3 linked regions of the Caenorhabditis elegans genome follow. The protein of the gene in region 2 purifies or fractionates together with the protein of the main gene of each other region. This does not show direct contact. Each region holds a gene or a part of one and is shown on either strand. Other genes may lie near its edges.

Evidence for each region.
Region 1: the proteins of mls-1 (region 2) and slc-30A5 fractionate together in Caenorhabditis elegans (co-fractionation; one large-scale study listed by BioGRID). This does not show direct contact.
Region 3: the proteins of mls-1 (region 2) and T05C12.4 fractionate together in Caenorhabditis elegans (co-fractionation; one large-scale study listed by BioGRID). This does not show direct contact.

Annotation. Positions count from the first base shown.
Region 1 is NC_003279.8:14,356,817-14,366,887, reverse strand, and holds the start of slc-30A5 (Proton-coupled zinc antiporter SLC30A5), read right to left. Parts: upstream 8,327-10,071; 5' UTR 8,227-8,326; coding exon 8,165-8,226; intron 8,121-8,164; coding exon 7,998-8,120; intron 7,933-7,997; coding exon 7,607-7,932; intron 6,982-7,606; coding exon 6,788-6,981; intron 5,960-6,787; coding exon 5,641-5,959; intron 4,068-5,640; coding exon 3,682-4,067; intron 2,255-3,681; coding exon 1,751-2,254; intron 465-1,750; coding exon 231-464; intron 1-230. Other genes in the region: Y105E8A.2 (Endoplasmic reticulum lectin 1), read left to right, coding at 8,580-8,939.
Region 2 is NC_003281.10:7,456,376-7,465,673, reverse strand, and holds mls-1 (T-box transcription factor mls-1), read right to left. Parts: upstream 5,334-9,298; 5' UTR 5,267-5,333; coding exon 5,094-5,266; intron 4,717-5,093; coding exon 4,574-4,716; intron 4,301-4,573; coding exon 4,170-4,300; intron 4,122-4,169; coding exon 3,990-4,121; intron 3,941-3,989; coding exon 3,761-3,940; 3' UTR 3,740-3,760; downstream 1-3,739. Other genes in the region: fum-1 (putative fumarate hydratase, mitochondrial), read right to left, coding at 1-69; H14A12.3 (Protein rogdi homolog), read right to left, coding at 652-819, 866-1,285, 1,409-1,632, 1,685-1,751; fipr-20 (FIP (Fungus-Induced Protein) Related), read left to right, coding at 3,279-3,407; fipr-18 (FIP (Fungus-Induced Protein) Related), read right to left, coding at 6,228-6,359; fipr-19 (FIP (Fungus-Induced Protein) Related), read left to right, coding at 6,728-6,859; Y69F12A.1 (Protein kinase domain-containing protein), read right to left, coding at 7,153-7,263, 7,316-7,435, 7,485-7,643, 7,688-7,888, 7,939-8,283, 8,513-8,725. UniProt on the Caenorhabditis elegans protein: Probable transcription factor required for the cell fate specification of non-striated uterine muscle precursor cells. Furthermore, may function with the transcriptional corepressor unc-37.
Region 3 is NC_003280.10:8,177,018-8,187,640, reverse strand, and holds T05C12.4 (uncharacterized protein), read left to right. Parts: upstream 1-7,259; 5' UTR 7,260-7,272; coding exon 7,273-7,356; intron 7,357-7,688; coding exon 7,689-7,853; intron 7,854-7,896; coding exon 7,897-8,058; intron 8,059-8,112; coding exon 8,113-8,220; intron 8,221-8,347; coding exon 8,348-8,518; intron 8,519-8,566; coding exon 8,567-9,043; intron 9,044-9,219; coding exon 9,220-9,480; intron 9,481-9,526; coding exon 9,527-9,910; intron 9,911-9,982; coding exon 9,983-10,063; 3' UTR 10,064-10,123; downstream 10,124-10,623. Other genes in the region: T05C12.8 (ANK_REP_REGION domain-containing protein), read left to right, coding at 1-28; cct-1 (T-complex protein 1 subunit alpha), read right to left, coding at 255-441, 600-1,256, 1,302-1,607, 1,652-2,075, 2,120-2,195; Segment polarity protein dishevelled homolog mig-5, read left to right, coding at 2,633-2,671, 2,738-2,886, 2,941-3,094, 3,136-3,211, 3,264-3,741, 3,784-3,906, 3,953-4,278, 4,327-4,851 and 1 more; dylt-3 (DYnein Light chain (Tctex type)), read right to left, coding at 5,332-5,771, 5,817-5,823; acr-14 (AcetylCholine Receptor), read left to right, coding at 10,446-10,535.

The sequences.
Region 1 (10,071 bases), on a different chromosome or scaffold from region 2:
TTTAATACTTTATATATTATTACTATCGAAAATATAAAAATGGCAAAAAATGCTCCAAATTATTTTTTTTCGAATGAAAAAATTCAACAAAAAAATCAGAAATTTGTAGTTTTTAGAAATATTATTAAATTTAATCAAATAAAACATTTCCTGAAAAAAAACAACTTTTTTTTTGAAAAATTGTCATTTTTAAAGATATTTTGTCCTCTAAGCAACAAAGCATCCCGTACCGTATAACCAGCTTTATATCCAGGACACACTTGTTGTATCCTGTGTGCAAATGTCTTTTTCTCAACTTGTACAGTTGAGTGGGTGGCTCCAGTGCTCTTCAGGATATTCGAGACACGGTGTCGAATCATTTGTGCATTCGCTTCTTCTTTCACTTGAACGTGTACACTTGCCACGTTGATATCCGATTTGTGCTGCCACATGTGTGCATTTGAATACGATTCTACGTGCTCGATCTGTGCAAAAATTAAGGGGTTTTTTTTCAGATATTTAAATTTTTTGTTCAGAAGCTCAGAAAGTTTCTTAAAATTTCCAACAGCTTTCTAGAACGTTTCAGAAATTTTCGGACAGTTCTGAAGGAAATTCAGAAAATTCTTGAATTTTTTCAAAAAGTTGCAGAAATTTCCACGATGTTTTTTAGGAACTCGCAGAAACTAAAAAAAACAATATTTCTAGAACTACAGTACCCCTACAGTACCACATACATAACGATAACAAATGCAGTACCTTCATAGTACCAATACACTACTTCTACAGTACCCCTACAGTAGTAATGCCAGAGACTGTTGGAGTACTGTAAGGATATTGTTACTTATGGGGATATTTTAGGAATATTGTATTGGTACTGTAATAGTATTATAGGGGTATCATAAGAATACTCTACTGTTGAAATTAATTCATCGATCCTTGAATTTTGCGAACATTTTTGTCACACAGACAGTGGGGCGGAGCGTAACTTTCGCAATACTGCCGCACGGTGTTTTTGTACGCCTCTTTTCTAATGATTTTGATTTTTTCAATAAAGTTTCAATTTTATTTGTCTTTCTTCGTTTGTTTTTTTTTCGAATGAGAACGTTATCCAAATCGAAAAAACGAAAAGACAAGTAAAATTGAAACTTTATTCGAAAAAATCAACAAGAAAATCATTGGAAAAGAGGCGTACAAAAACACCGTGCGGCAGTATTGCGAAAGTTACGCTCCGCCCCACTTTCTGTGCGACAAAAATTTTTGCGAAATTCAAGGATCGATGAATTAATTTCAACAGTACAGTATTCTTATGATACCCCTATAATACTATTACAGCACCAATGCAGTATTCCTAAAATATCCCCATAAGTAATAATATCCTTACAGTACTCCCACAGTCTCTGGCAGTACCAATACAGTATTCCTACAGTACTCCGTCAGTATTAATACAGTACTCCTACGATACCCCTATAATACTATTACAGTATTCCTACAGTATTCCTACGATATCCCTACAGTATCAATACAGTATCCGTACAGTAGCCCATACATAACCATAACAAATTATGTATTCCAACAATATCACTACAAAACTCCTACAGTAATCCTACACAACCAACGCAGTAACCCTCCTACAGTACCCCTACAGTACCAACAAAATATTCCTACAGCCCCCCTATAGTTACAGCAACCCTACAGTAATCCTACAACACCCTACAGTACTCCTATAGTACCCCTACAGTACCAATTTCCAAAAAAAAAAACAATGATATACCTCCAAAATCTCATTAATATGATACTCGAACTCCTCTTCCTCCGGAACATCTTGCAACAACGTACTAATCGATGAAACCAACAATGGATACACTGATCCAATGATCAGAAGTGATAAGATCAACGAACACAACGGATCAACCCAAACCCATCCGAACCATTGAATAAGTAACGTCGAAATGATCACAAATACAGAACCAAGTGTATCGGCAAGAACATGAAGGAATACACCCTGCATATTCGCATTTCCTCCTCCACCATGAGAGTGTCCATGACTACCACCTCCACCATGGGAATGACCATGACTCGATCCACCACCATGAGAATGTCCGTGTTCTCCGAGAGAATACATTCCGAATAGATTCACGATAAGTCCGGAAATTGCGACGAATAAAAGACGATCAGTGTTGATGTTTGGTGGATCGAAGAGTCGTTCGAGTGCTTCAATAAGGATGAACAACGCGATAACACATAGGAATAGGGCATTGATGAAGCCGGAGAGAATCTGCATCAAAAAAAAATTATATAGTTAGTTATCAAAATTTGATAGAAATTGTGTATTTTACACTAATATTTGTAGGTGACTTTTGCACCACTTTTGCAGTGAAAGTGTGCATTTTTGCATATTTTTTTGTGAAAAGCAACAAAAATAGTCCAAAACGTCCAATTTTTGTGTGCAAAATGTTGTATGTTGTTTTTTTCAAGTGAAAAATGCTTATATAAAGCGAAAATTCTTTTTTAAAAATTGTTGGTCGAAACGGTCATTAAGCAATTACAAAAAATCACTATTTTCACAAAAATGAGGTCAACACGTGCAAAAATGCATGTTTTCCTAACGAAAATAGTCCAAAACGGCCAATTTTTGTGCAGAACCCCCCCCCCCCCCCCCCCTAGGGCATTATTAATAACTGTAACACAATTTTTATTTGGTTTTTTGCGTATTTTCCGGATTTTTATACACTATAGACTCTTTTTTTACCGAAAAATGTTACGATAAATGAAAAAAAAAACGTCTTTAAAGGTGGTGTAGTCGAATTTTTTTTTTATTGCTTTATCAGACTCAAAATTGTTTGAAAACACCGAATTTCATAATGAAACTTCTTGAAAACTTTTCAGAAAAAAGTTATGACGCCTCAAAAAATGGCCTAAAATTAGTTAAAATCGGAAATTTGACCGACTTGTCAAGCGGCTGGAAACAATTTTTTTTTGAAATCACCATCAAATTTTGAGTATACAATGTAATTGTCTTGCGTTTTAAACTTGATTAAAGTATTTAAAAGTCGATGGACGGCAAGATTTTTATTTTTTTTGAACCAAAACTCGCCGTCCATCGACTTTTAAATACCTTAATCAAGTTTAAAACGCAAGATAATTACATTGTATACTCAAAATTTGATGGTGATTTCAAAAAAAACAGTTTCCAGCGGCTGCGACATTGACAAGTCGGTCAAATTTCCGATTTTAACTAATTTTAGGCTATTTTTTGAGCCGTCATAACTTTTTTCTGAAAAGTTTTCAAGAAGTTTCATTATGAAATTCGGTGTTTTCAGACAATTTTAAGTCTGATAAAGCAATTTTTTAAAAAAATTCGACTACACCACCTTTAAAGACGTTTTTTTTTTCCCATTTATCGTAACATTTTTCCGTAAAAAAGAGTCTATAATGTATAAAAATCCGGAAAATACGCAAAAAAACCAAATAAAAATTGTCTGCACAAAAATTGGCCGTTTCGGACTATTTTTGTGGCTTTTCACAAAAATCGTAGTTTTTCACCACATTTTTGAGAAAATAGTAGGCTTTTTTCTGCACTGAAAATTGCCGTTGCAGCCGAGTTTTCGATTTTTTTTGCTGCTTTTTTCACTTTTCGCTCTAAAATTGATAGTTTTTATTCGAGTTTTCTGAATTTTCCGGTGAAAAATCCAATTGTTCTACCTCAACACGTCCAAAACCAAATGTAAAGTGTCTCGTAGGTGGCCACCGTGCCATAACCGACGCAACAAGTCCCATGACAAGTGCACTACAATCGAATAGCATATGAAACCCGTCAGAAATCAATCCTAAACTGTTCGTCCAGAATCCATAGAGAAATTCGACTCCGCAAAAGCCAAGATTCACACAAAGAAACCAGAATATCCGACGGGAATCGTTGTTCATAAGGATTTCATTTAGGGTTTCCTTCATAAAAAGCATCAAAGATTTGGAGGTTCTCTGCAGGAAAGCTTCTCCATACGTGAATAATGGTAGTCCTGTATTCGAGATTCCAACGAAATGACCACCTCGGTGTTTTGGCTGATTCGAGTGTGTCAGCGAGATTGAGGCTGCAAAAATTTGGAAAATTTTGAATTTTTCAGGTAAAAAACTGGAAACATTTTGGAAAAGTCGATTTTTTTTTTGGAAAAATAATGTGGGAAAATTCGATTTTTTTAAATTTTTTTAAAAAATTTATAGGAAATTCCATTTTTTGTGGTTAAAAATTGAAAAAATACGAATTTTTCGATAAAAAACTTTGGAAAATTCGATTTTTGAAGTAAAAAACTTGGGACATTTGATTTTTTGGTTAAAAATTCGTGAACATTCGAATTTTTTTCGGGAAAAAACTTGAAGGAAATTCGATTTTTTTTTGGTAAAAAAATATGGGAAAATTCGAATTTTTCAATTAAAAAAATTGGAAAATTCTTTTTTTCAGGTTAACAATACGAGAAATTCAATTTTTAAAATAAACATTTTGAAAAATCAATTTTTTGAGTAAAAAACTTGGGAAAATTCTAATTTTTAATTAATAAATTAGGAGGAAAACTTGATTATTTTCGGTAAAAAATTTGGGAAATTCGATTTTTTGCTTAAAAAAAATGAGGGAAAAATCGATTTTTGAAGTAAAAAAAAATTGGAAAAATTCAAATTTTCAAGTAAAAAAGTTGGAAAATTCAATTTTTTCGATAAAAAACTTGAAATATTCTATTTTTTTTTCGGTGAAAAATTCCGAAAAATTTAAATTTTTAGGTAAAAAATTTGGGAAATTCGATTTTCTATCAAAAAATTGGACAATTTCAAATTTTTAGCTAAGAAAGTTGAGAAATTCGATTTTTTTTCGGTAAAAAACCCGACAACAATTTAGATACATTTTTTTTCAATTTATTTTCTGGAAAAATCTCAAAAATTTAAACTTTTAGAAGCAAATTTTGCATTTTTCATTATCTCTCTATTTTAAAGTCGATTTTTCGTTAAAATTATGCTGAATTTCACAAAAAAAAAAAGGATTTTTGATGCGAAAAATCCAGATTTTCGGGATTTTCTTCAGCATTTTTTAATTAGAATTTCGAGAAAAACGCACCCAAAATAAAGCAAAAGTTACACTTTTAGTGAAAAAAAATTCAAAATTCAAAGTTTTTGGTGAGGCTGTGACGACTACAAACTACAGTTTTTCATAGCCTCAACCAATTTTTGGTTGAGGCTAGCCAATAGTGTAGTTTGTAGTGTGAGCCTCAACCAGTATTTAACGCAAAAAAATGGGTTTTTCCTAAATTTCGAACGGAAAACTTAAATCTAACAAGAAACCCTAACATTTTCAAGATATTTTCGACAAAATACGGGTTTATGGAGCTTAGTTCAGGCTCACAGACTACAAACTACACGACTCTCTAAGCCTCACCCAATTTTCTTTGGTTGAGGCTATCAAGATTTGTAGTTTGTAGTGGGGGGGGGGGGGGGTCTCAAGCGAAAATCCGGTTTTTGATGTTAAAAAATTGCGAAAATTCGATTTTTAAGGTAAAAAAATAATTTTTTCAGCCAGAAAAGTCGATTTTTTTCAAAAAAATCGGATTTTGGTGCGAAAAATCCCAATTTCAGGGATTTTTCAGCATTTTTTTGATTAGAATTTCGAGAAAAACGCACCCAAAATAAAGCAAACAACAGTGATCGAAACACCGCCAGTCAACGCATGATCTCCGAGATTTTGGCTTCCATACCAAAGGTATGCGAGCCCAAATGCACACGAGAACATGGTAACAGAGGACCAACGAGCTGCAGCCATAACTGGATCAGCAACGTGTTGGAAGCATATACTTTCAGCGTAGAAATCGAGTACAAACACAAATACAGCAATGATTACGAGAAGAGCAGCGTAGTGGAAATAGCCTATCGAAGCTCCGGAGCTTGAGGAAAGAGCCCATGATAGTACGGCTACAGGCGTTAGGCAGACAGCACTTCCAGCCTGAAAATTTAAATTTTCATTATTTTTTATTTAAAAATTTGAATTCTTTCAATTTTTTACTTCAAAAATCAAATTTTCCAAAATTTTGATCGGAAAAAAACGATTTTCCCTAATTTATTACGTCAAAAATCGAATTTTTCCAATTTTTAACCAAAAAAAAAGGGAATTTCCTATAAATTAAAAAAAATCGAATTTTTTCCCCAAAAATTCGAATTTTCCCTAATTTTCTACTTCGAAAATCGAATTTTCTAAAATTTTGATCGAAAAATTCGTATTTTTCGAATTTTTAACCACAAAAATGGAATTTCCTATAAATTAAAAAAAAAATCGAATTTCTCAGTTTTTTCACTAAAAAAAATCGAATTTTTCCAATTTTTAACCAGAAAATTCCTTTTTTTTTAAATTTTCTGCTTCGAAAATCGAATTTCCCTATTTTTACCTAAAAATTTGAATTCTTTCAATTTTTTACTTCAAAAAAAAACGATTTTCCCTAATTTATTACGTCAAAAATCGAATTTTTCCAATTTTTAACCAAAAAAAAAAAGGGAATTTCCTATAAATTTTAAAAAAAATCGAATTTCTCAGTTTTTCACCAAAACTGTCGAATTTTCCCTAATTTTTTCCAGACACATTCCGCGAAAAAACTTAAAATTTTACGTAAATTTATAACTTTATAGCAAATGTTTTTTTCGGTTCATGAATTTTTAAAGGAATAATATCTTAGAAACTATTACAGAAAAAAAAATCCAGCAGAAAATGTGTGATTCTTTCGGAATTTTTTATGCTTTTTCGGGTTAAAATTCACGAAAAATCCATAATTTTTATTACCGTAACAAGTGTGTGAAGCCTCTTTGCACCGCCAACTTCTACAGCTAAATGCCGGAAAGACGTCTCGTAGCCGGTACGGAGAAGCAGTGAGATTAGCAGAATACATAGACCTCCTTTATGATCAGCCATTCCGAAAAGTCCAATTAAATGATAGAAGAGGTGGTTGAGGCCACTGTGGTGGGCGTGGGTGGTGTCTGGAAAGTTGGAAATTTGAAAAAAAAAATTAAAATGTAAAAATTTTATAGCGATTTTGAACGAAAAATTGGTTCATTTCTCGGTTTTTTAACTAAAAATCGCGATTTTTGAAGAAAAATGGGTATTTTAAAGTTTGGGTGAGGCTCACAGACTACAAACTACAACTGTTTATAGCCTCAACCAATTTTTCACACTGATTTAATGAAAAAAATTTTTTTGGAAACTAATAAAAAAAACCTTTTACTCAATTTCCGATGAAAAAAAAATGATATTTTTTGCAGTAAAATCGGAAATTTTAAGCTATTTTTGAGTGAAAAACTGATGTTTTAAAGTTTGGTTGAGGCTCACAGACTACAAACTACAACTTTTTATAGCCTCAACCAATTTTTATTTTTTTAAATGTTTTTTTTCGGAAATTATTAAAGCTTTTTGTGCATTATTTTTGATGAAAAAATGAACATTTTCGCTGGGAAATCGGAAATTTTAAGCTATTTTTGGTGAAAATAGGTATTTTAAAGTTTGGTTGAGGCTTACAGACTACAAACTACAACTCTTCATAGCCTCAACCAATTTTTCACACTGATTTTCAGTGATTTCTTCGAATTTCAAGCGCCAAATCCTTACGATGTGGATCCTCAATAGTTCCGTCTCTATCCATAAGGAAAAGCGCCACAAATCCGACAATTAACAGGAAAAATCCACGTGTTTTGGAGGGAGTTGACATATTTCCGCCCTTGAAAAATGAGACAACCGCCGATAAAAGCACAGTTGAACTGAGCTCAAAGACAAGAACACTCCGTAATGGTCCACAAAGTGTGATTCCATAAAACCAGAATACTTCGATAACGCTATTCATCAGGGAAAGCTTCAAAACCATGGGCATTATGCCTCTTTTCAGTGATTTTCCGGCTGAAAGAGGCTTTTGCAGGGGGAATAGGATACATGTACATCTGAAAATCATTAAATAAATTAATAATTGCGTAAAATATTTTAAAAAAATTTTTAAAAACCGTACATTATTTTACAAAGCCACAGAAGATTCACAATATGCGAGCTTTTCGCGAGAATATCCACGAAAAAGACTCCAATACATCGTAGAATTTTGGTGAGCACTAGCACAACGAAATATGACGCTGATCTGTAATTTTCAAAACTTTTTAATATTTTTTTTAATCAACAAACCTCGAAGATTGCGTTGGAGTGAAGTTTCTGTCGTCTTTTTTGACGAAATCGTGGGCTAGCATCGTGGATAATGGCGATTTTTAGGGTTTTTATCGAAATTTATCGATTTTCGGAGAAAAAAATCAAAAATTTATACAGTTTCCATCCCGAAAATGTTCAAAAAAGGTTGAAATAAATTGGAAATTTCCGAAAAAGGTTCCAAAAATTAAAAGTGTGCATTTTACCGTCACGGTGTCTGCACCAAATACACCCTATTTGACGACAATTCGCGTTGAACATTATTTTTCTATTACACTATTACACGTGTTTTAACCGAAAATGAGCATTAAAATGGGGTTTTCCGTTTAATTTTTTTCACTGAAATTATCAAAAATATGCTAATAAATCGATTTTTCAGGTGATAAACCTTCAAAAAATGGTTTCAACAGGCTTATTTCGGCCGACAAAAGCTATCCCGCTATTATTTCTTCTCTTTTCTCTTTACAAAACTGAGAAAATCGATGATTCTATTCACTATTATGTGTCATTTACAAGTGATTCGGTGACAATAAAAGATCCACCAACACTGGAAACAGGGAACACTGAGCTATCCGATGATTATGTGCGAATTATGTCGAAAAACAACGAGCGATTCTTGTGTAAATTGCCGCAAATTGATGTGGAAGTGAAGAAAAACGTGGAATATTCGGGAGCGACGGCCGGGAAATTGCTGGAAACTATGCTGTATAAGGATAAAATGTGCAGCTATTTGATCGATGTTTATTGGACTTATCAGGTAAATTTTTATCATAAAAATTGATGAAAATGCTTTGAAAACCTAAAAAAAATCAGAAATTTTGCGCATTTTTTACTTAAAAATTTTTTTTCGAAGGTTGGTTGAGGTTCACAGACTACAAACTACAATTTTATTAGGCACTGAGGCTCACGAAAGTTGTAGTTTGTAGTCTGAGCCTCCCCACAAATTAAAATTGTTTTTTTTGTCTTATTTAAAACCCCAACTGGTGTAAATTCAATTTAAAAAAGTATCCAAAAAATTTTATAATTTTTCTCTGAACACGCTGAGGCTCAGACTACAAACTACAAAATTGGCTAGCCTCAACCATGAAGGTTGTAGTTTGTAGTCTGTGAGGCTCACCCAAAACATAAATGCAGTTATTTCGACTGAAAATCGCTCGTTTCTCGTGATTTAAAAATGAAAATTTTGCAAAAATGACTACAAGCTACAAAATTGGCTAGCCTCAACCATGAAATTTGTAGTTTGTAGTCAGTGAGCCTCAACGAAACTTAAAAAATCCCGTTTTTTGCGGAAAATCATTTAAAATTCCCAATTTTACTTCAAAAATCCTTTTATTCATTTTTTCATCAAAAAGTGAATGAAAAACTAATTTTCGTCACAAATTTGAGGCTCACACTACAAACTACACTCCTTGCTAGCCTCAACATTGGTTGAGGCTATGTATAGTTGTAGTTTGTAGTCTGTGAGCCTCAGCCAAAACATAAATGCAGTTATTTCGACTGAAAATCGCTCGTTTTTCGTGATTTAAAAACAAAAAAAAAAGACTACAAACACTACAAAATTGGCTAGCCTCAACTAAATTTAACTAGTTTTCAACGTGTAAAATTGCAAGTTGTAGTTTGTAGTTTGTAGCCTCACCCAAAACTTAACATCGACGCTTTTTAACTGAAAATCGCTCGTTTTTTTCGTTTTAAAAACGATAAATTTGCAAAACATGACTAAAAACTACAAAAATGGCTAGCCTCAACCATGAAATTTGTAGTTTGTAGTCTATGAGCCTCACGGAAACTTTAAAATCACCGTTTTTTGCGAAAAAACCGTAAAAATTTGCAGATTTTACTGCGAAAATCTCAATTTTTGTCAAAAATCAATCAAAAATTAAATGTTCGTC
Region 2 (9,298 bases):
CGCTCCGCGGGCAATGACGGCGCCTCCACGAGCAAGCATTTCTCCCTGTAACATAGAGACTGCAGACATTAAGAGAAGAAGTTAGATAATGAAAAATTCAGAGATCACAGAGAAACGAACTAGTTTCTCACGTTTCCAAGGGTTTCTGTTGCCTGTGTGTGAAGGTCAAATCAGTTGAAGCGTGGCGAAAATTATTATGATCTTTAACCGATTTTGCGGAATCAAAAATCTCGAAAAGTTGAAGAAACCACGTGGTTACATAAATAATTGCAAATCAAACTCGGCATGGTTCATCTTGGAGAATATGCAATAAATCCAGAAAATATACAGCTTTTCTCTTCTCCCGCACAAGTTGAGATCAATTGGAAAATCAAAAATGAAATAATTCGGATATTAAACCCGTGATGGATTAAATGTTGTAAAAATCAGTTCAAACATAAATCTAAATATTTTTAATGACATTCTAAATTATGACCAAAATATAGTAATGCATGGGTGGAATGAAACAAGACGAGTTGGTGGAAAGTGAAATAACTACACAACTTTGAAATATATGAACATCCGGGGAAATAAATTAATATGTACACATCTAAAGAAGTATCATCTAATTGTCCTCACTATTGTTATACAATCCTTTCTAATAATTATATTCTACGACATAGTAGCCGATAAATAATTAATTAGTTTCTGCAAGATTGCCATCACTGTATTCAGATGCTTGATGACATCGTCGAGGTGTGGAAGTTGAGATTCTGCCATGAACACTGAGAGGCCTTGTGGATGAACTGTCTTCGGAACCATTTGGTAGGATGCACAAACCTTAAAATGTGTATTGATTATTGTGAATTTGCATTTTAAAACATACCAAGCGGCAACATGAAATATAGAAGGAGATTAGTTGATCTTGAGGAAGAGGTGGAACAAATTTCCGGGTCGGTGGGAAGTAACACAACTCCAACAGGCTTCTTTTTCTAGGTAACATAATTGAATTTCGAGCCAATGATATTTCATTCATGGTGAGCTTGAGTTCCTCCAAAATACGTGCTCCGGTAGCCAGAGTGAAAGCATCTCGTTCTCCATCTCCTTTCAACAAATTAACTTCATGTTGTAAATCGCAGAGAGTGATTGTAACTCTGGAAATGTGATTTCCAAGATCCTGAAGTTGTTGAAGTTTCCATTGGACGTCGGGTTGTGCGACTGCTCGATAATATCCACCACCAGCTTTAGGATACTTTACGGTCACTTCAGCTTGAATAACATTGTCGTCCAGAAGTGTGACTGCTGCCTGAAACAGTTTTATAGATGAGGCGAAAATGTTTAAATTTATGAAAATAATTAAGGGCGATTATTTTTTTTAAAGACTGCCGACGAATTTCCGAAATTTTTCGTTGTGAAATCAAATACTCACCTTCAGATTATCAGAGCTACCAGTTCTCGACATTAGCTGATATTTTTCAGTCGTTCCATGACTAACGGCAACGTTCAAACGTTCATCGCATTTAGCCGATAAATTCAATACAATGCAGCAGGCTTTCAGATGTTCCAGCGCACTTCGCAAAGTCGTGTCAACATCTTTTCTCTGTATCCAAAGGTTTTCGTTGGTTTTGTTAGAGCGAATTGTGTCACGGATATCTGTTAAAAATGCACTTTGATAGTTTTTTAATTAAAAACCCAAAATGCTTACCCTGCGGATTTGGAGATGCGGGTTTCGGCGGATAATTCGTGGTTATTGTAAGACTTTGAACCTCCATTGTATTGCAGAAAAAATCAATAAAAATGATAAAATTCCACAAGAGAAGCTGAAAAAAACCCGAAAACGGGTCGCCGGGCGGCAGTGTGCAACAGAGCGCGTTTGCTTTTGTTTGGTAAACGTGAGATTTTCAACATTGCAAGACCTCTGGGAATAAAAAAAAAGTAAAAACGCGGTTTGTAAACAAAAAATTCATTGAAGTCAATGAAAAACCCAGCAATTGCTAGCAAGAATTAGCAGAAAAAAAACATAAGCGATCAATTGCTACAGTACTCTTTCCTTAAAGGCGCGTGTCAGAACTGAGTCTTTCGTTGCGAGACCTCTAGTACAACAAAAAAGTTTAAACATTTACTGTATAATAGAACTTGAATAGCAAAAGCTCAAAAATAAAGTGAAAAGTTATGAAAATTGTGGTTTACAATATTTATTTTCAAAATTTTTTTCATTAATTTTTTTCAATCCAAAGTTCTTCAAATAATTTACCCTTCCCGTTGACACATGTCAAAATGTTCCGAACGTGCGATTCAATTGATGGTAATAAATCATTTTCGATACAGGAGGAACACATCTGGTTAGATGGGAAAATAATTGCTCACGGAGCAGCCGGGATATTGAGAACTAAAGGATTGATAGGGTCGTTGAAGAAAAGTTTGAGGTTTTATTAATTGGTTGGACAACGTGGTTACCAAGCTCTCATATTCTTTTTCATGGAAAATTATTAGATGGCACCATTTTGATTCTAAAATGACCAATTAGTATAGTGAAACTTTTCAAAAAAAATTGAAATTCATTTAGTTTTCAATCAAAAATCATTTTCGCTACTTATAATTTCGGAAGTTGACCAATTTAATCAATTTTTTAAGAAATCATTTTAAATTCTGTTCAAATATTTGTACTCAAACACTTTTGAGGTTCAAACGTGCCAAATTGCTCTACATTTTTCAAAAAGTCCACATTTTTGGAAAATTTGGCATTTTGCCAAAACTTTAATTAAGAGTTTTCAAATATCAGAAAAAAACAAATTGAAGTGATTTTTAATGGTAATAGGCCATTTTTGATCATTATATGTAAGTGTACTTAGACCAAATTTTAATTGGCGCTTTTAGATTACTGTAAATTCCCTTCAGAACTTTCCAATGTGATTTCTATTTAGACGCCTATGCGCTGGCCTTTCAGGTAGCCTACGCCTGTCTCGCGCCTAATAAAACAGATGTGAACACAAATCGAACACTTTTAAAAATTAAATCTTACAGTTAGCTAGAAACAACGTTGTTTCTATTTTTCAGATTCTCCTGTTCCGATTTCGATATATACTTTGATTCAACACAAAAGTAAAACAATGAGTTTGCAAAACTGTGCAAAGAAACTTTATAGCTTCGGAGTTTGATTCCCTGTTTGCGGGGTGATCTTTCACGCATAGAGACTACTATAAAACATCCCGGTTTGTCGGAAAAGTCACGATTCAGTCAACCGAGTCAAGGTAAGCATTCTCACTTTCAAGTCTTCTCAAAAATCTGAAAATTTCAGTATGAACTTCTACAACATCTTCATTTTCGCCGTTCTCTCAATTGCCGCCGTTTCTGGACATCGTTGCCGTGGTGGAAACAACTACGGAGGAGGTGGCCGTGGAATTGTCATTGGAACCGCCAAGGAATAATTTGAATGATTTGTTGACCTTGTGTTAATGATAAAATTGTGAGCATTTCAAATCTTTTCTATATTAACTTGTTGAATTGGCATTCTAAGCGTTCCATGCAGGAACCAAAACACCTGCTTGGCCTCAAGGAAAACGCTGCATGGTTTGGGCCTAAATCCTCAATTCCTATTTTATTCTTTGATCAAAATTAGAAAATTAGAATTTCGTAAACTCACCCAAAAATTGAGAAAGGAGGCGAAAAACAGGAATGGTTTCTATTATCAAAGCCCTAGGGTATTAAAATAGTTTCTCAGGGCGATTGGCTTTTAGTATAATTTATAATTTTAAAAGAGTTTGGTATATGTATAATTCATTTACTTATTTACATTCATATTGCTAGCTAGATTTGCAAAATATGGAAAAATTAGTGGAAAAACTGACTGGAATGCTGGTCCTCCAGTCATTCCACCAACACTATTCATTTCAATTCCCTGAACTTCACACTCTCGAAAACCTTTTGCAAATGGATTTGATTCGATTTTCAGACTTGTTATCTGAAAATGTTATATTTAGAAGCTGTAAATACACAATATTTAAAATCACCCGATGATTTTGATAAGCTGTAACTGCAATAAATTCAGTCTCTTCAAAAGAAAAAGTGTGCCGCTTTTGTGAATCATCTTGTTCAATTATGTGAACTCTTGGACGATATTTGTGCATTGAATTCACAATTATCTAAAACACAATTTCCAAAATGTGCTAGACAAACTGTGTGTGACTTACATGTCCATTGTTATCCAGCTGATTGTTTGTTAGCTTCATTTTATCAAAACTAACAGGAGCCCGCATCCAATGAGCACCACGAGCTGGGGAGTCCGTGTGAACAAACATTCTGCTCGGGAGTTCACTTTCCCCTGAATTTTAACAATTGGTATATGAAAGTTCTCAAATTTTTTAAAATTGCGAATTCAGTGGGGAAACTGTTTAAAACCACTTATACGGTGTTCAGTAGTTTAATTACAGTCAAAAATGTTTCAACTATACAAATTTTGGAAAAAAAACCAAAATTGTGTTATACGAATTTTATACTTTTTTGCAAACATTTTACGAGGGTTCCTTTTCAATGAAACAATTGGCTAGTTAAAAATCAAATATTTCCCAACTAACTTCACTCAAAAACAACCAACCTGGACCGGTAGAAATCCATTTGCTTTGATGAAATGAATATCGAAAACGTTTCATTTCAATACACTCCAAATCTACCATAACTACATAACTCTTCACGGGATCAAGACCAGCGATGATGACTGATAAGGTAGGAAACATTCTTCTAAACACTGTCATGTAGAGAACATTTCTGGTCAATATTTTGAACTAAATCAGCCGTAAAAACGTTCTATATTAAACTTTTTTGTATTCTATTTTTCAGTTCAGAAAATATTAATCTACTCCTTTTTTTAATTATCTGGTAAAGGAAATACTTCTGATCTATCAACGGCCAACGTTGAGAAATGTGGTGAAAGACTATTTGGGTAAAAACTGAAAATGTAGATGAGAAACTTCAAGTGAGGATGCTATTTTGGATTTAAAAATTACAAATCTTAGAACTTTGAATTTGTAGCCATGAATCTTATACCAAGGCAGTATTAAAGAGTGACTAATAAAAAGATAAAAATCTCGCAGTTAAGTTTAATACTTTCCACTAACCTTCCACTTTTAGTAACAATCATCTCTGTGCCAAGATTATGAAAACGACGCCATAAATTACTTGATTGTAGGAAAACTCGAATAAACTTACAATTATCCTTAGTGATTATTTGCTTTCTCTTTTCAACTGGTTTTCTAGCCAAAATAGCATCGATCGAAAAGTTTCGATTCATTTTTGGATGTTATAGAAGCAAAAAATATATTTAAAAATGAAGTGGCTGTGAGAAAGAAGACGAGTGTGAATACTTCTGAATGGTGAGAGGTCTCGTCGACACGGACTTGGTGATTTCCATATGTTCGGTGTTTTTCAATCAGAGCTCGAAAACTTTCCCTCCACCTCCTCCTACATCTGGCACCCGCAGTTTGTCGTCGTTGTCATCCACACTCGTTTCTACCGTAATCCGTCAATTTGCCATTTCATTCTCGTCATCCACAAACACGTGGCGGTGAATGTGAGGAAGATGAAGAAGCCGTGTGCAATTTGAGTGTGTTTTACGATCATTTTATTCGATTTGATTGGAGTGGGTCTGATGAGGGCGAGATATGTAAGAACTTCTGTGATATTTGTAGAAATTATGAAAAAATTATATTTAGATTAATTGTACATCAGGGATTCAAAATTTTTTTTCTTGATTCCTGGAAAGTTTCACTAATAATAAAAAATTTAAAATTGAAATACTGTTTGAAATAATTGAATAGAGTTTGATTACAAAAACAGTTTCCGGCTAATTTTGATCGATTCTCAGAAATTGTCTGATATAATTTTAAAAACTCAATTCTTTTCAGACACAGAAATCCCTGAGTTTTTTCATTTCCTAGTTTTGAAAATTGCATATTGAGAAACATTTTTCACTTTACTTGATTTATCTTGGACTGTTCCGAAATTCTGAAATATTTGAATTCCTTAATGTTCATCTAGCCCGAGTTATATAATAAAATTCAAAACTCTCTGCATACTTCTATTTGGCCAGAAAAACATTGACGAAGTTCCTGAATATCGTTCAATTTGATAAGAAGTTTGGAAAAAATGTCCCTTGAATGTATCAGTCAATTTGAGATAGCTTTCCATTGCAGTTTGTTCAAAATCAAAATGCTCACAAATTTATCATTAAAAAAAATCAACAACTGTTGAATTTATTCCTTGGCAGTTCCAATGACAATTCCTCCACGTCCACGACCACCTCCGCTGTATCCACCACGGCAACGATGTCCAGAAACGGCGGCAATTGAGAGAACGGCGAAAATGAAGATGTTGTAGAAGTTCATACTGAAGTTTTCAGTTTTTTTTAGAAGACTTGAAAGTGAGACTGCTTACGTTGACTCGGTTGACTGAATCGTGACTTTTCAGGTTTGCGGAGAAGTTTTTATAGTAGCCATAGTGAGGTAAAGATCACCCCGCAAAAAAGAAATCAAACTCCGAAACTATAAACTTCTGATCTTTTCGTTTCTTTGCAATCTTTGCAACTTGCAATTTGCATCCAAAGATCTTTTACGCACAAAATACATTCAAAACTCCGGTATAAAACCGACACCGAAACCTTTGAAAATCATCAACTTTCCTTTCAGTTTTGAAAGCTGCTCCTGAAAAGGTAAACATTTCTTTTCTAAACTCTAATTAATTCAAATATTTCAGTATGAACTTCTACAACATCTTCATTTTCGCCGTTCTCTCAATTGCCGCCGTTTCTGGACATCGTTGCCGTGGTCGATACAGCGGAGGTGGCCGTGGACGTGGAGGAATTGTCATTGGAACTGCCAAGGAATAATTTAAATTAAAACTTTCAAGTTATAATACAATTTTGAGCATCCAATTTTGTGTTGTCCTTTTAAAGATACGGTAGTTTGAATGCCAAGATTCTGAAAAAAAAACGGAACACAGGATCGTCCGGACGAAATCCGAAAAATACTTCTTTCGGAAAACCCAGAACTTCTTAAAAGTCGATGTATGCATAGTGCGTTCACAATGTCAATTATGCTATGCTCCCAATGGGCATTCTTGTCAGTCGCACATTGATGAAATGTCTAGATCACAGAAAAAGTGAGAAAATTTTATTGAAATTCATTCGAGTGACTTGACAATATATGGTTCTCTTTCCTTGTAGATCGGCCCTTTGTAATGTTGACTTTTGGGATCCCAATCCGGAGGCGATTTAGCAGAACAATTGTTAACCTGAAATTATGTAATCACAGAAATTAAGTTTTTAAAATTAGAATGAACTCACAATGGCTGCAGCTTGAAGATGATGATAAACAAAATCATAATCGGGAATACTTGAATACGATAGTTGATCGAGGTATAGAAGAATGGCACTCATTTGTTCGTAGCAACATTTGCGGAATAACTGTAAAATGATATGTAATAACTAAAGGTTTCGAAAAAATAAAACTCACAAACTTGAAGTAGGTCTCATCCGCGCGAAGTCGCCATTTCATTCCACGGACATTATCACGATCAGTTCCACGAAATTGCTTCCATGGAATGTCGAATACAATCATTTCAGCAATCATGTACCACCACGACTCAATATCATCTTTGCGAGATTGTTCTTTCTGAATTTTTGAAATGTTTTTGAAAAATAAAAATTCGAGCTTACATTATCATGAGCTGCTAACGCTGCATATCTTGTAGTTCCACGGAATGCACATTCCTTTCTTGGAGTTCTCAAGTCCTTTCCCTTCATGGCAATCTTTCTACAAAGTCCGAAATCCAAGAGAAAGACTGTATGGTAGGTATCATCTTCCTCTCTTCCGATTGCAAAGTTCGGAGGTTTGATATCTCGATGCAAGAATCCAACCTGTCAAGTTTCAATGTTTATTTCAAAACATTTTGTGCGTTTCAACTAACCCTGTGCAAATCTCTCAAACCAGCCAAAGTCTGCTCAGCAATTCTGAGAGTCGTCGTCAATGTATACTTCTTATCGGGAAGATGAGCACGCATGTCCCAAAGATTCATTCCGACTAATTTCAGAACCACGAACAAAAATCGATTGTTGACAATCCCATGATCTACCATTTCCAGAAAATGAGGCGATTTAAGATGATTCAAGGCAAGCAGGACACCGGCTTCATGGGGAAGAATTGCTCGCTTCATGTTGACCGACTCGCATTTCATTGCGAAATGGCGTTTGTCAGATTTACGAGTGACACCAAAAACTGCCCCGAATGATCCTTGTCCAAGTTCAGAGGTGAGCTAGAAAAGAACATATATATATTGATTAATAGAACAGGTTCACAGTTCATTTGCGAAGTACAAATAATGCCTCAGTGAGCACCGAGGATACATCACTACCGATTTTATAGGCGACGTATGCATCGCGCATTTCAATATCCAATAGTAGACTAATCAATAGTCTAAGTCATTAACCAAAGTTTTGTGTGGCGGTTTCAGGCTCAACTTCAAGATTTTTTCCCCCATTCACCTCATAAGTCTCAGTGGCCGTGTCAATCTGATTCTCTCCCTGCTTGAAACGTGGCATATCTTTCTCTTGAGCCTTTTTATTCTGAGCTCTTGCCAATTCAGTCTTCTTTCCATTTCTCTCCTTTTCTTCTTTTTCCTTATCTTTGTCAGTCTTTTTTTCTTCTTCAAATTTTGGTGTTCTCGGCATTGACTGCATCAGCCTGCTATTCTCCATTTTTTCAATCTGAAATTTAGTTTTTAACAAGTTGTAAAAAATCATGAAATTATGTTGGGGCGGGGAAAGCGAAGAGGAGTGTTAAAGCGCCCCCGTTACGCCTCGACAGCGTGGAATGTATAGTTCTGGGTATTTATCAAATTTGAAAGAACTTACTTGTCTACCGAAAAGAACAAACTCAAAAGCCGCAAATTTGGAGAGTCTAAATTATGAAATGATTGGAAAAACGAGTAAAACCAATGTTTCAACGGGAGACGAAAAAAAAACCAACGTGCTAGAAATAAAAATAATTGAGGGGATTACGTAAATATTCTTAAAGGTGGTGTAGTCGAATTTTTTTCATTGCTTTATTGGATTCAAAATTGTCTGAAAACACCGAATTTCATAATAAAACTTCTTGAAAACTTTTCAGAAAAAAGTTATGACGGCTCAAAAAATGGCCTGAAATCAGTTAAAATCGGAAATTTGACCGACTTGTCAAAGTCGCAGCGGCTGGAAACAATTTTTTTTGAAATCACCGTCAAATTTTGGGTATACCAGTTGATTATCTTGCGTTTTAAACTTGATTAAGGT
Region 3 (10,623 bases), on a different chromosome or scaffold from region 2:
TTTCACATCACTGGGCGGCGATGAGTAATACAACTAAATGTGGCAAAGCTTCTTCATTGTTTGAATAATGAAAAACGAATACAAACAACTTTGAAATCAAAACATTAAAACTTACAACATTTCGTTCAATAAAGTATCATCAAAAGAAGAAAACAAAAGCTGAACATGAGAATTTGGGATAAGGAGCAGCAGATCGGAATTATGTGAGAAGCACGCGGAAAACAGGGATATATAAACGGGGTAAACGGGAAAATTTAAGCGTGGCAATCATCTCCTCCAAGTGGCTCTTGCTTGTCAAGTTTGATGAGGTCATCAATACGCAATATCGTAATGGCTGCCTCAGTGGCGAACTTCAGAGACTTGACCTTACTAAGAGCTGGCTCCAAAATTCCAGCCTCCTTGTTATCGCGGATCGTGCCTTCTTCGAGATCCAAACCAGCCCTAAAAAAAGAGTGAATAAACTGACTCAAATTCAGAAAACATGAATTAGACGCTTTTTCTAAGCACAAAACGAAATTTTTTGAAATAAATTATTTTAATTTTATTACATTAAGCTAACATGTAATAACCTACTCTTTAAAAAAAACATTTTCACTTACCACTTGAGGTGTTGAAGTTGTGGGATCAATTGAGCTTTGGAGTGGTACGCGCGGAGTTTTGTCACTAAATCAGTAGAATCTCTTGCAGCATTGCTTGCCAAAACCTTCGGAATGATGAGAAGCGCTGAAGCGAATTCAGCAACAGCAAGCTGCTCGCGAGAAGACAAGGTTTGTGCATAAGTTTCAAGGAAAAGACTGAGAGAAGTCTCAACAGCACCTCCTCCAGCCACAAGTTTCTTGCTTTCCAGAACTCTACGAACAACACAGAGTGAGTCGTGAACCGATCTCTCCATTTCATCGAGCATCACATCGTTCGCTCCACGGAGGATAATGCTGCTGGCAGTACGAGATTTCGGTCCCTTGATGAGAATGAGCTCGTCGTCACTAATTCTTTCTTGAACAATTTCATCGGCATGTCCAAGAAGCGAGGCATCGAAAGCTTCATCTCCTTCCAAAGTAGCCAAGGAAACAGTCAATGTGGCTCCAGTAGCTTTGGCAATTCTCTTCAAGTCTGATTTCTTGCATCGACGAACAGCCATAGCTCCAGATTCGACAAATTGCTTCAAGCACAAATCATCGATACCTCCAGTTGTAAGAACAACGTTGGCTCCGGCTTTCAAAATTTTATCAATGCGGCGTTTGGTAATATCGAATTCTCTGAAAATTCCATAGCTTAAAAAGAAACGAATAGTTTCAACTCACTCTCTGCGAATAGCCTCAAGCTTGGCTGGATCTTCAACAACGACTGAAATACCGAGGTGCATCTTAGCCTTCATCAAAGAGAAATCGAGACATGCGATCTTGGCATTTTGAACACGAAGTGGCATGGCCTGACTGGCAACTGTGCAATTGAGTGCATATCCTTTCACCAAAACTGATTCGCGAGCGCTCTTTCCGTGGGCCTTCAGAACATTGACTGCATTGATAGGATAAGTGACTTTCCCGTTATTTTCCACACGAACAGCTTCCGCGGCATCAACAACCAGCTCTCCGAAGAAATCGGCGTCTCTGAAAAATCAATTTTCTTGAAGCATAGACAACACCAAACTCACGGTCCGATAATCTTACTGCTCATGGAAGTTTTGGCAGCGTTGACAACTGATTGTCTACCAATCGAGTCGGAAGTGAATGAGATGTTTTCACTAATGTACTTGACGGCTTCCTTGCACGCGAGACGGTAACCATTGATAATAGTCGTCGGATGAACTTTTTGTTTCACAAGCTCATCGGCTCTCTTCAAGAGCTCAGCCGCCACAATAACGACAGAAGTAGTTCCATCTCCGACCTCCTCGTCTTGCAGCTGTGCAAGTTCTACAAGCACTTTTCCAGCCGGATGCTCAACCTCGAGTTGTTTCAGAATTGTGGCTCCGTCATTTGTGACAATGACATCTCCAACATCATCGACAAGCATTTTATCAAGTCCGACAGGGCCAAGAGATGACTTCACAATATTGGCGATCGCAACTGCCGCGGTGACTGCAATTAATTAATGTATACTTATATTGAGCTTTCGGTGTTACCATTCTGAGATCTGATGCCTTGTCCAGTAGTTCTTTTACCGGTGAGGGCAAGAATGGAATCTCCAGCTGATGCCATTACCTGAAACACAACCGTATTAACTTAGCAATAGAGTAGGACATTCGATATTGAGTCAAAAAGGGGCTTTGAATAAGCACTCAAAAATAAAAATATACGTAAAAATGAAAATATTTCAGTAAAAATAAAAATGCTTCCAGAAAATCGGGGATCCCTTGAATTCTGAATCAAAATTAAAATTCTTGTAGAATATTCTCAGAGCGCATCGTACTTCATGCATGCTAGAAGGGTAATCGTGCCGAGACCCAACACCAGCTGTCACTAGGGCGTATTTGCAACATTGTTCCCACCCGCGATTTATTGCCGATAAATTAAAAATAAAATTGTTTCCGCTAGTCCTTTGCAAACAAATTTGTTTTTTTTGTTTCCTCTTGTAATTTTTATAAATATTTTATTGGTCTATAATTTAAAATATTGAATTCAGATTTCTAACATTTATGGAGCCGCCATGCACATCAGACTGCAGCCAGATAAAAGTAAGAATTTTGATCAGAATTGTTTTTTATTAAGCCAGTGATTAAACAGAAATAATTTTCTTCCAGGTCTTCTACTATCTCGACGATGAAACGACTCCCTATGTTTCTGTTATTGAAGCCAGAGAAGGAGTAGCGACGCTTGGAAATTTCAAAAATTCATTCACCAAGCGTGGATATAAGTATTATGCGAAGGAACTTGACCCGGATATTCAACGGTGAGTTTTGGCTTTTTTAATTTTTGTAATTATTCTGTACTGAAAAATGTTCAGAGAAGTTAAAGTCGAATTAACAACTGATTCGGATCGGCTGCGCAAATCCCAGAATGGATTTTATGAGATTTTTCTCGTTAGCACTCCAGGATATGGAACTCTTCCTCGAAACAGTGGAACAATGACGCGACCACAGAGAACTGCTCTAGATAAGGTTCGATTTCTGTTATTTTCAAAAAAAACTGATATTTTAAGCGCCGCCGACGAAGTGCAGACTTTGACGCGACTCCGTACTCTGATGCTAGTCTTGCTCCGAGCACCATTGTTAGCAGTGAGTTTTTGCTATTTATGTACTCTTAAAAACCTGTATGAACGTTTTTCAGGAAGAGCAGGAGAGCATCTGGCAGAATTATACACTTCAAATTCAGAGGATCCGTATCAATATGACGAGCATACACGTCGAACAGGAGATGATTCTTCGCTCTACGAACCTCTCGCTGCTCGTGATATGAATAAGATATACGATGACGATAGAAGAAGGAAAAAACAAAAGAAAGAAAGATTCAGAAGACCGTATGTTCCAAGTACTATTAGCTCAGCGACGGAATCAAGTGTTAACAGCGGCCTCCCTCGAATTCTGGAAATTTATCTACCAATGAAAAATGTTCCATATCTGGGACTGAGCGTGTGCACAATTGATGGTCATATATTCGTTTCCGAAATTGCACCAGAAGGTGCCGTTGAAAAAGATGGACGTGTGAACGTTGGTGATCAGATTCTTCAAGTTAATAGAGTATCCTTTGAAGAACTCAGTGGGCCTCAAGCAGTTCGTTCGCTCAGAGAAGCTGCATCCTCCAAAAGGTATTTTTCTACGCATTAGCATTAATTTTTTTTAATTTTTAGACCAATTACTCTTTATATCAGTAAGTTTGCAAGAGGTGCCCCAAGTGAATATGATGATCCACTCGCGTCCATGGCGTCTGAAACGATGCCCCTCGACGTTGGAGTTTGGGTAGAAACCGCTGTGTAAGGGTACCTCGCAAGATTTATTTTCTTAATTTGATACTTACAGGCAGAACACTGAAAAAATGAAAGCTCTGGGTTTGGATCCACAGGAGCAAACGGCAACTACAATTGATGACGGAACTCTTCCATTTACATCGACAGCTTCTGATGATGAGGAGCGAATGCTTTACGATCAACGTAGAAATGGAATTCCAAGAGCTTTGATTGAAGAAGCAGAAAGAAAACGAGAAAATGAGCAAAATGAAAAAATAGAGCAACTCACAGAAATGATTGATCCCATTATTGTTGTTCGTTCTATGGCTCGTCCGGATTCAGGATTAGCTGTCAAAAATCGAAAATGGCTGAAAATTTTGGTTCCAATGTCTTTTATTGGTGAGTACTGAACATTCAAGTATTAGGATCCAAACAATCAACGTTTAGGCCGAGATCTAGTCGATTGGCTCGTTGATCACATGGCTGATATTCATAATCGGAAGAAAGCTAGAATCTATGCTGCGAGATTGTTAGCTGCTGGTCTTATCAGACATGTCGTCAGCAAGTTGACATTCACAGAAAAGTGCTACTATGTATTCGGTGATGGAATTCTTGGCAATGATCGTAATTCCACGGACACCACTGGTACGAGTGGAACTACAATGCGAGTTGAAGCAACTACTGAAGTGACGTATGTTGGCTCACCAGCACCACATGCTCTGGCAGCACGAGTTGGAAGAAATATTCCTCATCGATTAGAAACCACTACTCTAAGCCCAGTTGCTCATGACCAAACATGGCTTCGAAGACGTCGAGATTGTGAGAGTCCTATGACAAATGATTACGCATCGATGGTCGGAGAAAGCCAAATTGGAATGAATCCAGTCGGAAATTATCATGTTTTTGGGACGAAAAATAATCACCGTCAGGTACCGGCACCTTCTCAAGTGACATCCTCAAGCTTGACAAACGGTGAGAAAATTAATCGTTTCTATAGGGTGCAGGAGTTAAATTTGAAGCAAATATTCATTTCAATTGATATAGTATTTGCTGTTTCTTGACTACTGTACCCTTTGTATCCAAATGACTTTTCACATAACAGTATTTCCCCAACCAAATTAGTTACAAATTCCAGGAAGTGGTGGCTTAGGAGGCCCTCCGCCGACTCCTCTATCCAGTACTATGGTTCTAGCAGCTTCTCCGATTCAGTCGCAGAACGCAGTCAACCACGATTTCGACGGGGAGAACAGTAGCAACAGCAGAACGCGTATTTTACGGACTTAAAATTTAAAACTCATTGCCTTTACCGATTCTCGCCTTAATTCCCACATGCTTTATTAATATTTAAAACTATGCCCTGTTTTCATGTATTTCAGTAAGACTAACGTTTTCATTCATTCATGTAATTTTGAGTCTATTTATGAATTATTTTAAATTTCTTCATGACGATGTTCACTTCGAAAAACGATGTGTGATGAAGAAGACTTGGACAGCACCGAAGATAGTTTTAGACATCCATTCCGAGTAGTATGCAGTATCCTTCGTAGTATCCCAGGAGCACATGTTGGCCGTGCAAATTGCAAGATTATCGGTTTTTGCAGAAATAGTACAATGAACCAAAAACTTTTTGCTTCCATTGAGCTTCACTAAATTATCCGAAATTGTTTGGATCATCTTGCTCATCCAATCAGACATTTTGAATGGAGAATATGGAGTTTTACCAATTATTGAATCAAATGATTTTTGAATAATTAAATCAATTTCTTGTTCTTCGGCATTTGAATAGACTTTCTTTTTGAGTTTCTTATTTTTCTTTTCAATCAATTGTCTCAAAAGCTGAGCGTTTTTTGATTCAATTTGCCGCTTTGCTACAGAAGAAGTTGTAGAAGTGTCTAAAATTTCAAATGATGTTGCATAATGTGACAAAGAAAACTAACCTGTCATTTTGAAACAAGGAATGAATGAAATAATTAAAGTTATGCGATAAACATTTGTTTTCTAAATTTGATATATATATTAGAATCTGGTATAAATTTTTTTAACAGTGCGTGTAATTAGAACACGCTCTGAAGGCGAAGTGTTTAGTGCCAATTCAAAATATTACTTACAATTAGACCCGAAAATTTTGCGCTTTTTGTGCCAAAAACACGGTACCTGGTCTCGACACGAAACATTGTTTTTAAATGCAAAAAGGTGTGGGCACAGCATCTCCGACCGGGAGCGAAAAAATTAATTTTATTATAAAATGTGTTGTTAAGTTTTTGTTTTGTTTCCGCGGCTCTGTACCAGATTTTACACTAAAAGTGCACCAGTTTGGAGCACCGGACACACAGAAATTGTGTAATGTTGATGGCGTTCCGTATCCGAAATTGACATGTTTGCAGGGGTCGGTTGAGCTAACAAAGGTGGGTGGTGGAAGACGGAAATACGGTTCGAAGGAATAGTGGGGGGAAAGCTGACTGATTAGCTTGCCATCAGTGATTTACGGAAAATGTTCTGCTTCCTACTATGATTTCCTCATAATTTGAAATTTCATTAACTCTTAAATGTTTACTTAAATGTGATGCGAATTACTCAGAAAATGCACAGTTTTGGAAATGTAGCAAGTGACCAAAACATTTACTGAAAAAAACCTTCACCTTTGAAGTTCCTCTAATATCCAAAAAGTCATCATCAGTCCAATAGACAAAAAGTATTTCCGGTCCGTCATGGCAAGTTTGCCTTTCTCATCACAAACACTTTCTCTCATCCTTTAATTGTTTGTAGATGAGCCGGTCATTAACACTTATCCCTCTTATATCTATCATTCAATAAATCTTTTTGTAATATGCGCACCTCAATAATGTCTACAGACTCTTGATCAAGGTTTGTGGAACGTTTCTTTCTGTTTCCATTCAAACTATTTAATTAGATTTCCTGTAAATTCTGGAATGGAAAAATTTAACTTCATATTCAATTATAACAATGAAAATTAATTTAAAATGGCTTTGTGCAACTTCTTGAAAACAAATTGGAAAACATAGTTATTTTATAGTGAATGCTTTATGTATGCACCTTTATTATATTTCTTTTATTAGTCTTGTATCCTGTTTGCTCTACTTTGACAGCTCTCATGCCGGTTATCTTTGATTTTGTCAAAAGATATTTAACAGCAAAAAGGTATCACATATTTTTCTATATTTTCATAGTCAATTTTTGATATATCGAAAGACAATCGAGATATGAGCTTTCAAAGTAGAGCAGTGAGTTATAGGAAAAATACGGATCTTTTCATAAACTGATCGGATCTGAATTTCCCATACGGAAGCGTCTCTAATCTTGACTCTATTTGACACACAATCATTCAACAGATTTCTTTATTTAATTTTCAGAAATTTCAGATAATATGTCCTAATGGCCTCATATATTCTAAACGCACTTACACTTCGTCACGACCATGACGCAGCTGAACGAACATTGCACCATTTTTGGGATACGGTACGTGAAGGAAAAGTTCCGGTCTCTTTTCGTGAATGAAAAGATTATTTCCACATGATTGGAAGGGTCATTCCCGTTACATTCGTTTTTGAACGGAAAATGAAATTCAAAAAAAAACAGCTGAAGATGACCTAGTCTCGCAAATTTCACCTTTGCATGATAGGATCTAACGAGTGTTGGGCATTTTATTATTGTTATTAATATTATAGACTTACTTTTATTATAAAGTTTTTATAGTAATGAATGACTTTATATTCGATTTAGGTGATGTAAGTTTTTAATGATTAAATTAAAAATTTAGAGTTTATCTAAATTCAGTTTACATACTTCAGAAAGATCTTCTGGATTCCGGGTTAATTGAAGAACATATTGCAAGTCAACCCCTTTTGGCTGCAAGTTTATTTTCTTTAATTTCTTGCTCATTTGGTCTTGTTATCTTTACAATCGTATTCCTCACATGTAGGTTTCGAGGGCGATGTGGATCACAAAAATATCAAGTAAGGTTTCGAGGATCCCTTCTTTTAATATTAATATTTCTAGGAATATCCTTCAAATTCCAACACTTATGCAATATATCTTATGTTATTTTTCATTTCCTGGCTCATCGTCACATCAGCTTCTGCTTATTTTGTTCTCGCTGGAATTGGATTTTGGAGTGAAAAATTGGATGCAAAGAAACCATTTGCTAATGCGTCTCTTGTGGTTTTTTAGACATTTACTCATTTCAAAGTGAAACGTTTATATCCTAATTTTCAGAGATTTTCGAGAAGCACTATCAGTGATCTATTTGCTAATTATGATTATCATGGAGATTTTGAAAACGTTTCTGAGCTGCCCAAAAGTGGGCTGAAGAGAATTCATATTGTGAGTTAGATCCAAATAAAATATTTTTAAATAACAAAACTTCCAACTAAAAAACTATGTTATCAAAAATAACTTTCTTGAAATCTACAAAATCTTTATTCAAAATGTTCATTTTTATTTCTTTCAGAGTAGAAAACCACTTCAAACTTTTCGAAAAAGAATTGAAATTCCCATTCGACCACTGGCCGAAGTTACATTTTCTGGAACATCTGATAAGTTTATTACAAAGAATCGACCAATTATTGATTCAAATTTGAATAAAGTATCAGATGAAAAAGAAGAAGTCGATGACATTATTGTAAGAGATGTTTCTTAAAATGTATGACTTTTCCAGTTTTAATTTCAGAATTTGAGTGGGGACCAAGAGGAAGTTTCAATTCAAAATATGCATCAGCCTACGAAAAAAATTTTAGTGAATCATAAGGATCAACTTTCTGAAATTCCAAGAATTCCTCAAGTTTTTCAAACATCAGATAATTCTGAAAACCTAGATGGTATAGAAGATTCAACAGAAGAACCAGAAAATTCTACAGACAATGAAGAAGCTGAGAATCAATCGAATATTCTTGTGGTGAATGGAGAAACAATGACGATTGAGGAAGAATCTGATTTGATTGATGACGTGGAAAGCGAGGAAACGACATCCACAACTACACCAAGAACAACTACTACTACTACTACTACTACCACAATCACAACCACAACGTCAGCTCCTACAACGATTGCAACTTCTACGCCTATATCCACAACATCAAAAGCCACTACATCCTCAACTCAGTTGTTCCAAGAAGTAACCTGGAAACAAATTGAGGAAACTGATTCCGTGAGTTTTCAATTTTAAAAATGTTATCAAGCATGGCATATCCTCTCAATTGGATCCTTCATAAGTTATCTGTTCTCGTTTCTCATAAGCACGAGATTAAAATAAATTTTCATATAAGCAAATTTACTTGGCTAATTTTTTTAAAACTAATCATTAGCAGTATTTGAAATTTCCAGAACAATGTTCTAGACCAACTTCTCACTCACGCTGAAAACAATGCTGAAATTCCATCTGACAACAGTCTGTCTTACAATCCAAATTTGACGTACTTCAGTCTTCATTCAAGATTGCTCGTTTTCATCTGCAGATTGGCGTTCTGTTTTGTTGCTTTGGCTCTTCTTTTTGTGATATTACCCACATTTTTTCTTGTTGTCGCTGGCACTGGATGTTACATTTATAGTGATCATCCTATGAATCGAAGTAGCGTTTCGAATAAGGTTGACTATAGGTTATTTATGATTGAAAACTAAATTGAAATTTCAGATTGGCAAAGTAGTCTCCGTAAATGCTGCAATCTTGTTATTAATGTCACCATGTATGCTGGTATTTTCATGTTTTACTCTATTCTACACTCACTGTCACGAACTGTTATGTGCTACAATTCAACTTCAAAATCAACAAGCAAGAGGATTAGTCGATACAAATCATCAGAGTCTTATTGAAAATTATTCAATCAATACAAATCAATGTTCTCGATCATTGGCTCCTGTTCAATCTCTGCTCCTTTCATCACTTCTATTATGTATTTCATTGCTTCCATGTGTTTTTGCAATGTTCAAACTTGTGAAGTACTATTTTCGAATGAGTAGTGAATTTTATTGGAATGCTGCTGATAATTTCGCTGGGAGACAATTTTCAAAACAACAGGTAAATTGTCCGTAGAGATGCAAGACTAATAGAGTAGAGTAACTACGGTAACTAACATTTCAATATTTTCAGGAATTCCCCCGTTATCAAAGTACAGTAATCTATCCAGATGATGAAGTTACAACTGGCTATGCAGTTTATGGACAGATTTAAATTTTTTTTTCGTTTTAAATGGAGACTACGGGTTCCCAAATGTATTTTTAATTAAATGGTTTATCGAGTTGTAATAAATTTTTACTGAATTATATAAAGCTAGAAATGTTTCTAAATGAAGTTTCTCGGCAGATCACATCCTGAAATATCACTGCTCGGAAGCTCTGAAATCAGTCCTATTTGTATACAGGTTGATGTTCATAAAATATTTGAAAGTTTTTTTCAGGAAAAGAAAACACATCGTAAGTATCTATTTGTCAAGTGAGTGCTTTCTCTCTTTTCTTTGTGTGGTCCCATGGGGGATCAGTCACTAATCCTCCATTTCAATCGTCCATGTGTTCACCCTTTTCCTCTTTACTTTTCAAATAGGAGGTCATCATCAATGTCTTTTGTTTTCTTTATTTTATTAACTTTTTATATTCAAGTGAAAGGAAGTGTAGACGAATATCGACTTTTACAATATTTGAAAGAGGTATGGAACATTGTATTGCTCGTGCAAAAATTATAAGGTTTTAAATGTATAAGTTTGGAGACTTTGCTTTAATTTTTTCAAATAACTG